Notamacropus eugenii: one gene and its partners. The protein of the gene in region 1 binds, or shares a complex with, the protein of each later gene. Links are inferred from orthologs where the notes say so. Each region holds a gene or a part of one and is shown on either strand. Other genes may lie near its edges. The genes, in order: CELF1, CALR and CALR3.

Evidence for each region.
Region 2: CELF1 (region 1) and CALR share a complex: the UniProt entries of both Homo sapiens proteins name them as parts of the EIF2 complex. The link is inferred for Notamacropus eugenii from reciprocal best matches to the Homo sapiens genes CELF1 and CALR.
Region 3: CELF1 (region 1) and CALR3 share a complex: the UniProt entries of both Homo sapiens proteins name them as parts of the EIF2 complex. The link is inferred for Notamacropus eugenii from reciprocal best matches to the Homo sapiens genes CELF1 and CALR3.

What each region holds. Positions count from the first base shown.
Region 1 is NC_092877.1:3,521,240-3,524,986, reverse strand, and holds the start of CELF1 (CUGBP Elav-like family member 1), read right to left. Parts: upstream 2,657-3,747; 5' UTR 2,642-2,656; coding exon 2,466-2,641; exon of another isoform or gene 2,311-2,465; intron 1,969-2,310; coding exon 1,781-1,968; intron 398-1,780; coding exon 315-397; intron 1-314. UniProt on the Homo sapiens protein: RNA-binding protein implicated in the regulation of several post-transcriptional events. Involved in pre-mRNA alternative splicing, mRNA translation and stability.
Region 2 is NC_092875.1:77,932,621-77,936,367, reverse strand, and holds the start of CALR (calreticulin), read left to right. Parts: upstream 1-1,129; 5' UTR 1,130-1,297; coding exon 1,298-1,385; intron 1,386-2,428; coding exon 2,429-2,530; intron 2,531-2,820; coding exon 2,821-3,024; intron 3,025-3,250; coding exon 3,251-3,345; intron 3,346-3,432; coding exon 3,433-3,642; intron 3,643-3,747. UniProt on the Homo sapiens protein: Calcium-binding chaperone that promotes folding, oligomeric assembly and quality control in the endoplasmic reticulum (ER) via the calreticulin/calnexin cycle.
Region 3 is NC_092875.1:59,663,486-59,667,232, forward strand, and holds the start of CALR3 (calreticulin-3), read right to left. Parts: upstream 2,504-3,747; coding exon 2,173-2,503; intron 1,938-2,172; coding exon of another isoform or gene 1,765-1,937; exon of another isoform or gene 1,719-1,764; intron 1,669-1,718; coding exon 1,495-1,668; intron 665-1,494; coding exon 563-664; intron 1-562. Other genes in the region: C4H19orf44 (uncharacterized protein C19orf44 homolog), read left to right, coding at 1,765-1,937. UniProt on the Homo sapiens protein: During spermatogenesis, may act as a lectin-independent chaperone for specific client proteins such as ADAM3. Required for sperm fertility. CALR3 capacity for calcium-binding may be absent or much lower than that of CALR.

The DNA of each region.
Region 1 (3,747 bases):
CCAAGGTCTGTGTTCTCAAACGGACAAAGTACTAACATTTCTGGGATACTGAATTAGAACAATGGAGTCTTGGGAGCTTTTCTTGATTTTCCATGACAGCACCATTTTTACCCCAAACTTAGCGCTCAGATAGACAAATAGAGAGCCAAGATGTCAACTGCATGAAGCTACAGGGAACATTCTTGACAACTTTGTCACGATATCTTTGGAGCTGCTTGTGAGCCTGCTTTTTGGGACTGAGCTCAGGAGCTCATCCTACTTGCTAAAACCACTCTAAGTCTTCCTGACAGAATGGATGATCTCTCTCTTCTCACCCCTGGGAGGATCTTCATATTGTGAAGAGCGTTCTGTGCTTCTAGTGCAGCTTTCCGGGTGTAAAATGTAACAAAACAGCACCCTGTAATCACAAACAAATGACAAATATTACTCTTGTGTAAGAAAGCAATTTTTAGAGAACTTGGCTTCCAGAGAGAAACACATACTGTGAGGACTCTTGCAAGGAGTACTGCTTTGCCAGTACATGCAAGATGGAGAAAAGAAAGAAATAATTCAAATAATTCATTCAGTAATGCACTGGGTGTAGAAATGTGCTTTACCCATAGCTGTCACACAGGAAGTATATGGGTAATGGGTGTATTCAGAAAGCTTCGTGGCCCTGCTCTCCTCACTGCCCAACTGGCACTCCCACAAAGAATGATTTCTCTGCCCTGTCCCCTCTGGATTTCCCTTAATCTCCTCCTGCTTTCTGCCCCTGCCTTTGGGCACATCCCACTGCAAGGAGGAGACTTTCCCCCCAAGACATGCCTGTTTCACCTAGTTCAGTCCCTCTGTTTCTTCAAGGCCCAGCTTTGGTACCACCTCCTAGCTTTCTCAAATTTCTCCAGCTAAAAATGATCCCTCTTCCTCTCAAACCACTCTCTGACTCTACATCCCAGCTCATACTAGTGTTCTTGTCTCATCACCCTTATTAGACTTCAGTTCCTTGAAGGTATGGCCTGTGTCCTTTCTATTTGGGGGTGGTGGCTGAGGCAGAATATGAATAACCATAATGAAATGTCCATGTTTTAAGGCATAAAGGACAAAACCACACAATTTAGAACTAGATGGGATCTCAGTAGCCATCTCGTCCAAATATTACCTGAAAGGAATTCCTACTGTGACACACTGGACAAATGGTCATTCAAACTCTATCTGAACACCTCTCAAGGTCACCCATTCCACTCTTGGGTAACTTCAATTATTGGCAAGGTTTTCAGGATATCAAACCTAAACTTTCTTCTCTAGGAACTCTACATATAGTTCATGCTATTATAAACACAGGGAATCTGAGGCCCACTGACTAGCCAGAACTCCACAAATAATAAATGATCAGGGACTGCCTTCAAGGACGGAGGAGTCTGCACTACGCCATGCTCCCTCACCGTGTATCTACAATGCCAAGCACTGTGCCCTTGCTTATTTATGAAATGTCTTCTGAAGTGAAAGGAGTATCAGACATCATCCTCATTCCTATCATCCCCAAGTACTTAGTCCTTAAGTGACTTTTTATTTTCTTCCAAGTCAAAAACTCTTAAGTACTTCCTTCATACCAGGTACTGAACCAAGTCAAGTTTAGCTAAAAGGGAAGCCTTCTTTCTTAAGTGAAAAAGCAACTGAGCAGAGAGAAAACATAAATCTAAGATCAACTGATCAACAGATCATCGTAGGATCACGTGCGACAGGAAGGAGACATGGAAAATTGAAGGTTTTCTCATCAGGGAGACAGAACCCAAGTGCTCACCTTTGCTCTGGGGAGGATTCTGGCTCCTATCCCTCAGGACGTTGATTTCGTAGACAGCACCGTACTGTTCAAAGAGTTCCCTCAGATCTTTCTCAGACCAGCTCCTAGGAACCTGACCCACAAACATCTTGATGGCATCGAGGTCAGGTTGGTCCGGGTGATCCAGTGTTCCATTCATTTTCTTTGAGCTGCACGGGATAAAAAGAAGCCTCTATCACAAGGTCCAGTCACACACAACTCGAAGGTTTTTCTTCTAAGCGACCACAGCACCACAGTGCCTCTTTACGAACTCCATCAAGTACATTCCAGCACCTTAGATGTACACTTACATACATCAGAAAACTGGAAGAACAGGGTATGTGGAGAGACACAAGGAACCAGGAAGGCTCCTCCTGCTTACACTGAGCACATCCCCAAGAGCTAAGTCAATCAGTCAAACAACAAGCATTTATTAATCACTACTATGGATGTGCCAGGCACAGGGCTAGAAGCCGGGCACACAAAGACCAAGACAAAAGACAAACACATACATGAACGAAGCAGTCCCTGCTCTCAAGGAGCTTACATCAAGAGGCAAAGGAGCTCTTGTCACTTGGACATGGAACAACGGAATAAACGTTGCCAAGAGGCCTGAAGCGCTACCCCCCTCATCCTCCGCTCCCCCCACAGGGAAAGGAAAGTCTACTTGATAAGCATGTTCTTTTCTTTTGGAGCCTCCGGGCAATCTGCTCCTTGGCTGTCCCTCCCACCATGGCTTCCCCTTCTGTCGGCTCCCGCAGTGAAGTCACCATTCTGTGTTGAGGACAGCATTGTCTGTTGCCACGGGAATGATAATGCTCTTCTTGAGCATGAGAATTTCATAGCAGAATCAGAGGCAACGCCTACTCCAAAGATGACCACTTCTAAACAAACTTCCAAAGTGTTTAATTAATGGAATGAAAAGACCATAAGAACAAGAGTAACTGACTTGCATAAAGGAAAACTTTTAAAGCTCTGGACCAAAGACAAGTTCTTAATTTCCTAGACCAAAGTTCAGAAGGCACAAGTAAAATATCGACAAAAGTGATTCATAATAATTCCAATAATCCTGAGTCCAAGGCTCACATAGCAAAGTTAGGTTTTGAAGGAAAAAAATGTAAAAATGATTATCATTGTAATTTAGGGCAAAAAGGGAACTCAGGTCACTTAGTTAAACCTCCTCATCTTCCACACTGGTAAACTCAAGGTGAAGACAATGACCAGGCTAGTCCAGTGCCACAGAGGAAGGGAGGGGCAGGGCTGGGACCAAATCCCACCAGATCCTTTGACTCCAACTTGCCACTAAAATCCAAGCACAGGCACTAGATGTAAACTTCAGACATTGTACTCTCTGAAATACAATGTTCCTTCTCTCCCATTACATTCGGCAGATGCATTCATTTTCCTGTCTCTCAGTTACCTTGAGACTCAGTATCCCCACTTGGTTTTGTCATGCTATTCAACCTAGCTCCATACTAATGAATGCCATTTCACCAAACTCAAACCCCACCAGGACTCTTGGAAATCCTCTTGAGAGAATTACAGGGCAACAACACTCATCACATTTTTACTCTTCTGTTTGCCTTTCCCCTTTATCAATCTTTCAGGCTGTTTTTCTTTTCATTTCCTTTATAGCCAATTAAATTCCAAATCACTTCTTCTACCAACTCCTCAAACTTGCCTAAGATTTTCACCAATCTGTGACAGTTTGCTCTCTCCCTCCATCTTTAACCATGCTCTATAATCCTTCTCACATTAAACAATTTTTTTTTTTTTGCTCTTCCAATCATCTCTCCTGTCTTGTTTCCTTTGAATTTCAAGATTCGTTACTTCTAACTGCCTTTTTTTCAGTCTAAGACTAACTAGGAAACATTGAGCACATTAATTAAGAGCTCAAATTCGGGATGTCCTGCAAATGTATTTGTATTGCTGCGATGGTTTTTCCAAAC
Region 2 (3,747 bases), on another chromosome or scaffold:
AATCCGAACCTTCATTTTACATATGAGGAAATTAAGTTCCAAAGAGGACAGGGAGTTGCCCAAGGTCACAAGGCTCTAAGTACACCTGGGATAGAACTAGCATGGTCATAGAGTCAGGGATTTTCCAATCCAGACAATTTTTGTTTCAATTTCACCTTGTTACTTTCTGTGTGGTGGTCTTGAAACAAGTGCTTTGCTTCCTGTATATATTTCCTTATACGAAAAATGAGATTCCTTCCATTTGAACTGAGGTCATCTGACTCTGTCTGAAATTCTATGCACCCTACTAAGTTTTGTCCTGTCCTGCCACAGTCACATTAGACAATCACTCCTCAGACTCTTCCCAAGAATCAATCTTCACACTGAGAGCCTGGTGTAAATTCTAGTTAAACCTGAGTCTGAAAGCCAAATGACAGGACCGAGGTCACCCAGGTGGGGCTTGACCTCATACTTCTGAGCAGCACCCTTGTGGTCAGTTATGGTGGTTCTGTCCCTTTGTCCACCCAGGATCTGACCTGGCACCGTTTACGCTTGTGGGTGGATGAAACCTTTGGGGCTTGCAGCAGGGCTGGGGACGGTGCTTCCAGCTTGGGAGGTTGAGATAGGACCCCAAGGGTCATGTGGATGCTGCTACAGGGAAGGTCCCTGGGGAAGTACTGCTGGCCAGCGGGGTTGAAGACTGAGGCTGGGACCCCACGGGGGAGGCGGGGGAAAGGGGGGGTCCTGGCACAAGGAGGGCATCTTTCCTGAGCCGAAGGATTGCTGGAAGCTCCGGAGAGGGGCCTGGGGTTGGGGGAGTCGGGAGTTATCCACTTCTCTTAGGCCCCGACCTTTAAGAAACGGTGAATAAGGGGAGTAAACTGCAGACAGGAGATTTGGGGGGAAAGGGTGGGAAGAGTCTGGCCAGCTTATCACGTGATTCGAACCGGGTCCCTGCTTCCCTCCCCCTTCTGGAAGTGCTGTAGGCGTCCCCCCCACAACGCGTGGTCGTTCCTCATTGGCTCGTGGCTACGGCCAATAGAAAGCGGCCATCTGGGAACCCAGCGTTCCGAGGTGCAGCCTAAAGTGCTGCGCCGGCTCGGGGCCAATCGGGAGGGGCCTTGCGGGTCCCGCAGCCAATGGACATGCTGAGGGGGCGGGAACACGGGCTGGGCGGTGTTGGTTTGAGGGGGGCCGGGTATAAAGGCGGTCGGTGGTCGGCGGCGGCTGTCCCTACTGCAGAGCCGGAGTAGTGCTGTCGTCTGCGGATTCTGTGTCCGTACCCGATCCCCGCCGCCCCTACCTGACCCTTCCCGTCATGCTGCCTCTCCTGCTTCTGGGCCTGCTAGGCCTGGCGGAGGCCGCTGAGCCTGTGGTCTATTTCAAGGAGCAGTTCCTCGACGGAGGTAAACGAGGGGCGCCCGGGCCTGCGGTCCCGCCCCGTCCGGGGCTCCCCGGGCCCTCCCGAGCGCCTAGCCCGCCTAGAGTGCCTCCTGCTGGGGTGGGGGGACGTTGGAGGGGCCGCGCGCACCCGCTCCAGCCGCTGCTGTCCCGGGGGGAGGGGAGGGGGTCGTGCCCGGGTCCCTCTTGTCATCCTAGCGGCGTGGGAGGCGCTACGGCCGCCGGGAGTCCGCTCCCCTTGGGACAGCGCTGCCTCCCCGGTGTGGTGGCTACAGCCCTCCCCGGGGGCCCCTCTTCCTCCATTAGCCTCAAGGGTGTCCAACATTGGGTCCCCGGGACCTTTGTCCCTCCTGCAGCCGACCACGGGCTTGCCCTCTCCCTCGACCCTTTCCCCAGCCTGTTCTAAGCCTGATACTTGGGGGTGGGGGAGGGGAAATGAGGGGCAGAGAGGGTCCACTGGGCAGAGACCCCCGGGGCCCGGTCTGAAGCTTGGAACCTTTCACCCTCTCTTTGCTTCTGATATCGTCAGTGCCCCCGGAAACCTGGGGTGGAGGTGAGGGGGCGGGGTTGGTTCCTGGAGAGTTAAAACATGCCCTTATGAATGCATAAAGCGAGGTGCCAGGCAAATCACTTAATTTCTGAGTCTTTGCTTTCATTCACTGTAAAATGAAGAGGCTGGACCAGAAGGCCCCCGGGTGGCATTTCAGCCCTAAATCCTGCCTCCGTGCTTTGCTGACCTTGTATAAACCCTTTTCTTTTTTGGGAGAGGGTCAATTTCCCCATTCACAAAACGAAAGGGTTTAGATTGGGTGTCCTTTAAAAGGTCCTTTTCCATCTCGAACATTTTGGTAGCCCGAGACTGTGTTGTTTAGTTGGAGATGGTTTCTGGAGGGGCCTTTCCTTAGCAGCTGGTACCTAGAATGAGTGAGTCCCTTGGAAAGCTAGGTTTTGATGGACAGGGATAGAAAGATGATCACAGACTCTTCTCACATGTTGTACTTCCCCAGTGTTGGGGAACATGAGGACACTAACCCCCTTCTCTCCTCAGAGGGTTGGGAAGATCGTTGGGTGGAATCCAAGCACAAGAGTGACTATGGCAAGTTTAGGCTCTCGTCCGGGAAGTTCTACGGTGATGAAGAGAAGGACAAAGGTGAGGGGCTGCCTCCTGCCAGAGATGTGATATTGGAGAAGTACTTTTCATTTAGGCCTCGATTTCCTCATCCATAAAGAGGGAAAGGGTTAGGTTTAAATCTCCCTACCAACTCTGAAATTTCCTCTGATTCCATTGAGGCTGTATCCATGCAAGGGGGTTGGTCAGGATTGAATTGGACCTGGGACAGAAGACTCAGTGTGAGTGGCTGCTGGTAGGGAAGAACCGTGAGTGATGAGGCAGGATACCCCTTACTTACCTTGGGGACAACTTTCTCACCATGCCTGTAGGGCTGCAGACAAGCCAGGATGCCCGCTTCTATGCTCTGTCCTCACGCATGGAGCCCTTCAGCAACAAGGGCCAGACGCTGGTGGTGCAGTTCACTGTGAAACATGAGCAGAACATTGACTGTGGTGGTGGTTATGTGAAGCTGTTCCCTGCTAGCCTAGACCAGGCTAGCATGCATGGAGACTCAGAGTACAACATCATGTTTGGTAAGTGTCCATAGGACTGGCTGTTGTCCCTTCCTTCTGTGGTTCTGGGAGTCCCTAAAATGAGAGTCTGAGATTGACCATCTCATCAGTGGGAAACTAAGGATTGAGGAAGGAAGGTGACTTGACCCTAGGGTCCTTCCTTCCCACTTGCCCTTCATAGTGGCTTTGGGGAACTGGGAGACAGGAGTCCTGGATTCTTTGATCAGTTTCCCCATTCCTTCTTCAGGCCCTGACATATGCGGCCCAGGAACCAAGAAGGTTCATGTTATCTTTAACTACAAAGGCAAGAACATGCTGATCAATAAGGACATTCGATGCAAGGTAAACTACCTAACAGATGGTGAGGCAGAGGGAAGGGTCCAAGACCTGTGAGACCTTGGTTCCTTCATAACTGTTGTCCTCCCATAGGATGATGAGTTCACCCACCTGTACACCCTGATTGTTCGGCCAGACAACACATATGAAGTGAAGATAGACAATGTTCAAGTAGAATCAGGCTCGATGGAAGATGACTGGGACTTCCTGCCTCCGAAGAAAATCAAAGATCCTGAGGCCAAGAAGCCTGAGGACTGGGATGAGCGAGCCAAGATTGATGACCCCACAGACACAAAGCCAGATGTAGGTTGCTTGCATTTGGGAATTCTTCATGGCTAATCCCTGTCCAGTGACCATCCATCCTTTCCCATTCCCCTTTCCCCCAACCCCCCAACTGGGAGAAAAAGG
Region 3 (3,747 bases), on another chromosome or scaffold:
AACTCAGGAAGATGAGTCTTCTGGATTCCAGGTCTGGCACTCTATCCACTGTGACACGTAGCTAACCTAGTTAATGGATTAGGGAGACATAAAAGATTGCCTTACTGAGTGAGGGTCCAGTTGAGATTATGCAAGATAAATTTATAGGAAACCCAGGCAACATGTGATTTTCTCCAGCTTTGCTCCATCAGATTGTGAGGGTAATTCAAGGTTGGAGTCAAGCATGATTGTCATAGTTGGCAACAGGAAAAGGGGGCAAGTGACTAACTGGATGGGGATAGCATAGACTTGTACTATCCACCAATGGATGAAGAAAAAGAATGAAGGAGATTAAAGGTAAACTTCTTGGGGGCAGGGGTAATTTTGTTTATGTCTTTGTATCCCCAGCACAATTTCTTGTTACATGGGAAGTGCTTGTGAAGTCCACAATAAAGATTGTGGACAAGGCTCCAAATATCTTGTGATCTCCTAACTCATCTTTGTCAGCTCACTGTTGACAGAACCCAGTCACCAAATGGTCAGAATAAGAGTTGGAATTTTAAATCAAAGGCTTACTACTAACCTTTATCTTTCTGTATATCACCATAAAATTTTCCTGATGATAGCCTAAAGTGCCCAAAGTTGGAGTCATTGGCAGAAGGTATCCATCTATTTCTCCAACTTTCTGTTTAAGAAGAAAAAGAAAGAGTAAGGCAAATCAGGAACAAACATCCTAAGTCAGGCATTAAGGTTACAGCTGAGAAGACTTTTTAAAGGTGGAAAGGGTCAAGTATTCTCAGGATTTAATGATTATGACTCATAATCTACCTTGTAAGGGTGATTTCTTCGACAAATTTCCAGGGACAAACCCTGATTCATTTTTCGAAGGCAAACCTTTGATGACATGACTGGGATCCCATTTCCTTTCTGAGATCAGAGAACAGTCTTTAAACATTATCCTATTTAAATTGTACCTGAATAGGATGACCCAGCTTCAGCTTAAAAATCTCTTTAGAAGGATAGCCCATTATCTCCGAAGGCAGCCCATTCCAGCTCTAGCTGGTATGAAGGTTTTCCTTATATCTAGTGGAAATCTGCCTTTCTCCCACTTCTACCTATTCCTCCAAAGATACCAGGCTCACTGGTGCGATGGAGGAAACGTTCCACTGGGATGGGAGGATCCAGCACTTAGAGCAACCCTAAATCACGTGACCTCTCTGGGCCTCAGGTAGGGGGGGGTTTGACCTAGAGGGCTGCTAAGGTCACATGACAGCAACCCTCCCAGTCTTGACACTTGGCCACATTTTTTTACAGCTATGTGCTGGGGGTACAAGGCCGGAGGATTCTGAGCTTCAAAGGCGCGAGCTCCGGCATCTTAACCAGGGTCATCTGGCTGGTATATATTGGGGGGCAGGCCGTCCTGGTTCCAGGCCTGGCTGCGTCCGTTGGCCATGGCCCCGGTGACCCAAGGGATGGTTTCTCTCCCGCCGAGCCCAGGTCCCCGTCTCATTTCACCTCCATCAAGGAACTCTTCTTGGAAGTACACAGTGGTCAGAGCCGTCCGCACCAGACACAAGGCCCACAGAGGCCCAGCGGCCACGGGCCGACCCATGGCCGCTCGAAGGTAGTTTTTCTTTTCCCGCTCTCCGTCCGGGCGCGCCCTCTGATTGGCTCCACCGATGCTGCACGCTGCGTCCAGGGGCAGAAAAGGAAACGAACTTCGATTCCCATCGTGCTTTGCTGAGCGGCTGAACCCTGGCGCTCCAACTGCCCATAGGGCGATGCATGCTGGGAAATGTAGTTTCTCCCCGTCGGACCCCCTCCCCCCCGCGGCGCGAGGCCGGAAGTCCAATTCTGTTGCCAAGAGAGACCGTTAAAGAATACGGGGCCCTCCGGCCCTTGGCCGGGGGAATTGGTGTACGGAGGCCTTCGAGGAGGCGAACCCAAGGAAGAGGTCGGTGAGCAGCGCGAGGAGGGAGGGGTGGGAGGGGCCTAGGGTGGGGATGGCGGCGGGGGAAGATTTGACGTTCGGACGTAGGGAAGTTGAGGAGCTCCAGAAGCCCGGGGGCCTGCGGGTGGGGAGGGAGAAGCGGGGGGGGGGGGGGTGGGGGGGGGGTTGTCTCGGGCTCCGGGGAGGCGGGGGGGGGCAGAAGGAGGAGGAAGAGGAGGTCGGGCGCTGGGTTCTAGGCTGACCTCTGACCCCAGCCTCGATTAGCCTCTTGGGGTGGGGAGTGGGGTGAGAGAGACGAGACCCGGGGGTCTTAGTGGACTGCCAGCTCGAGATGCGTCCACGGCAAGACGCGGCCTCCCCGCGCGCTGGTGTCTGAGGCCTTGGACGGAATCGATGCCTGTGGAATGATGAACGAATGAATGACCGGGAGCTGGTCATGACCGCTGCCCCCGCCGTGGTGGTGTCGTAGTAAATGTCTGGGTGCCAGGGTCCGAGAAGGCCGTGTACAAGTGGACGAGCGCCCCGAGCCGGGCAGCCAGCAGAGCGAACGGAGCTCTGAAGGGGCCGTGGCATGCCTGGTCGCAGGAACTGGTGCCAGGGTGGGTGGAGCACAGGACTGGGAGTTAGGAAGACCTGAATTCGAATGTGGCCCCAGACTCTTCATTACCTTGTGAGATCTTGGGCGAGTCATTTCATAGCTTTTGGCCGCGGTTTTCTTATGTCAAATGGGGGTGATGATGGCACCCACTTCATAGGGTGGTTGTGAGCATCTGGTAATGTATTATAAAGGGCTTTTCAAATCTTAAGGTATTGAATTATCTTTTGTCTTTCTTTGTATATCTAGCTTTCAGCACAGTGCCAGGTACTTCCTACCTGTTTAATAAATATGTATTGATTGACATGTGTAGCCTGGGGAAGAGAAGACTCATCCGGAACATGGTTGATAGCTGTTTTTGAGTATTTGAAGGGCTGTCATGTTTAAGAGGAAGTTAAAGCTTTGGCCTTAAAAGGACAGAATTATGAAGAAATGGATGAAAGTTTGAGAGACACAGGTCTAGGCTTAATGTAAGATGGAACTTCTTAACAATAAATATCGTAAAATATGCTTCTTAGGATGTAGTAGAATTGAGATACAATGTGGTCAAAAGTGTTGGATTCTGAGTCAAGAGACTTTTGTTTGCATTTTGCTCCACAATATTTGGGGCTAGTTGACCTGAGACAAAGATTGCTTCCATCTATCCACATCTCAGTATTTCCATATGTAAAATAAGAAGAATATTTGCATTATCCGCTTTAAAGGAATTTTATGAGAAAAGTACTTTGTTCTTTCACTGTAGGTCCAAGGCTGGCTTGAAATGTTTGTTGCAACCATTTTAAGGGGCATTTCTATACAGGTACGAATCACAGAAATTCAGGGTTGGAAGGGCCCTCAGAAGCCATCTAGTCTAACCAATACCACAGAACAGTCCTCACCCCATTACACCAGCCAACAGATGGTCATCCAGCCTTTTCTTGAATATCTTCAATATGGAGGAAGGACAACACTCTCATTTTTTAAGAAGTATTTCTTGACAGCAATTCCTAAACTGACTTCTCTGCAACTTTGACCTTGTTCTATTTTTTCTAATTTCTTTGATGGAATGAACAAATCCGATCCCTCTTCCAAATGGCAGTTGTCCTTCAGATACTTGAAGACAACTGTCATGTCCCCGAGTGTCCTCCTGGTTAAACGTCTCCAGTTTCTTCAACCTTTCCTCACACATGACATGGATTGAAGTCCCTTTGCCATCCTTGTTGCCCTCTTCCTGACACTCTCC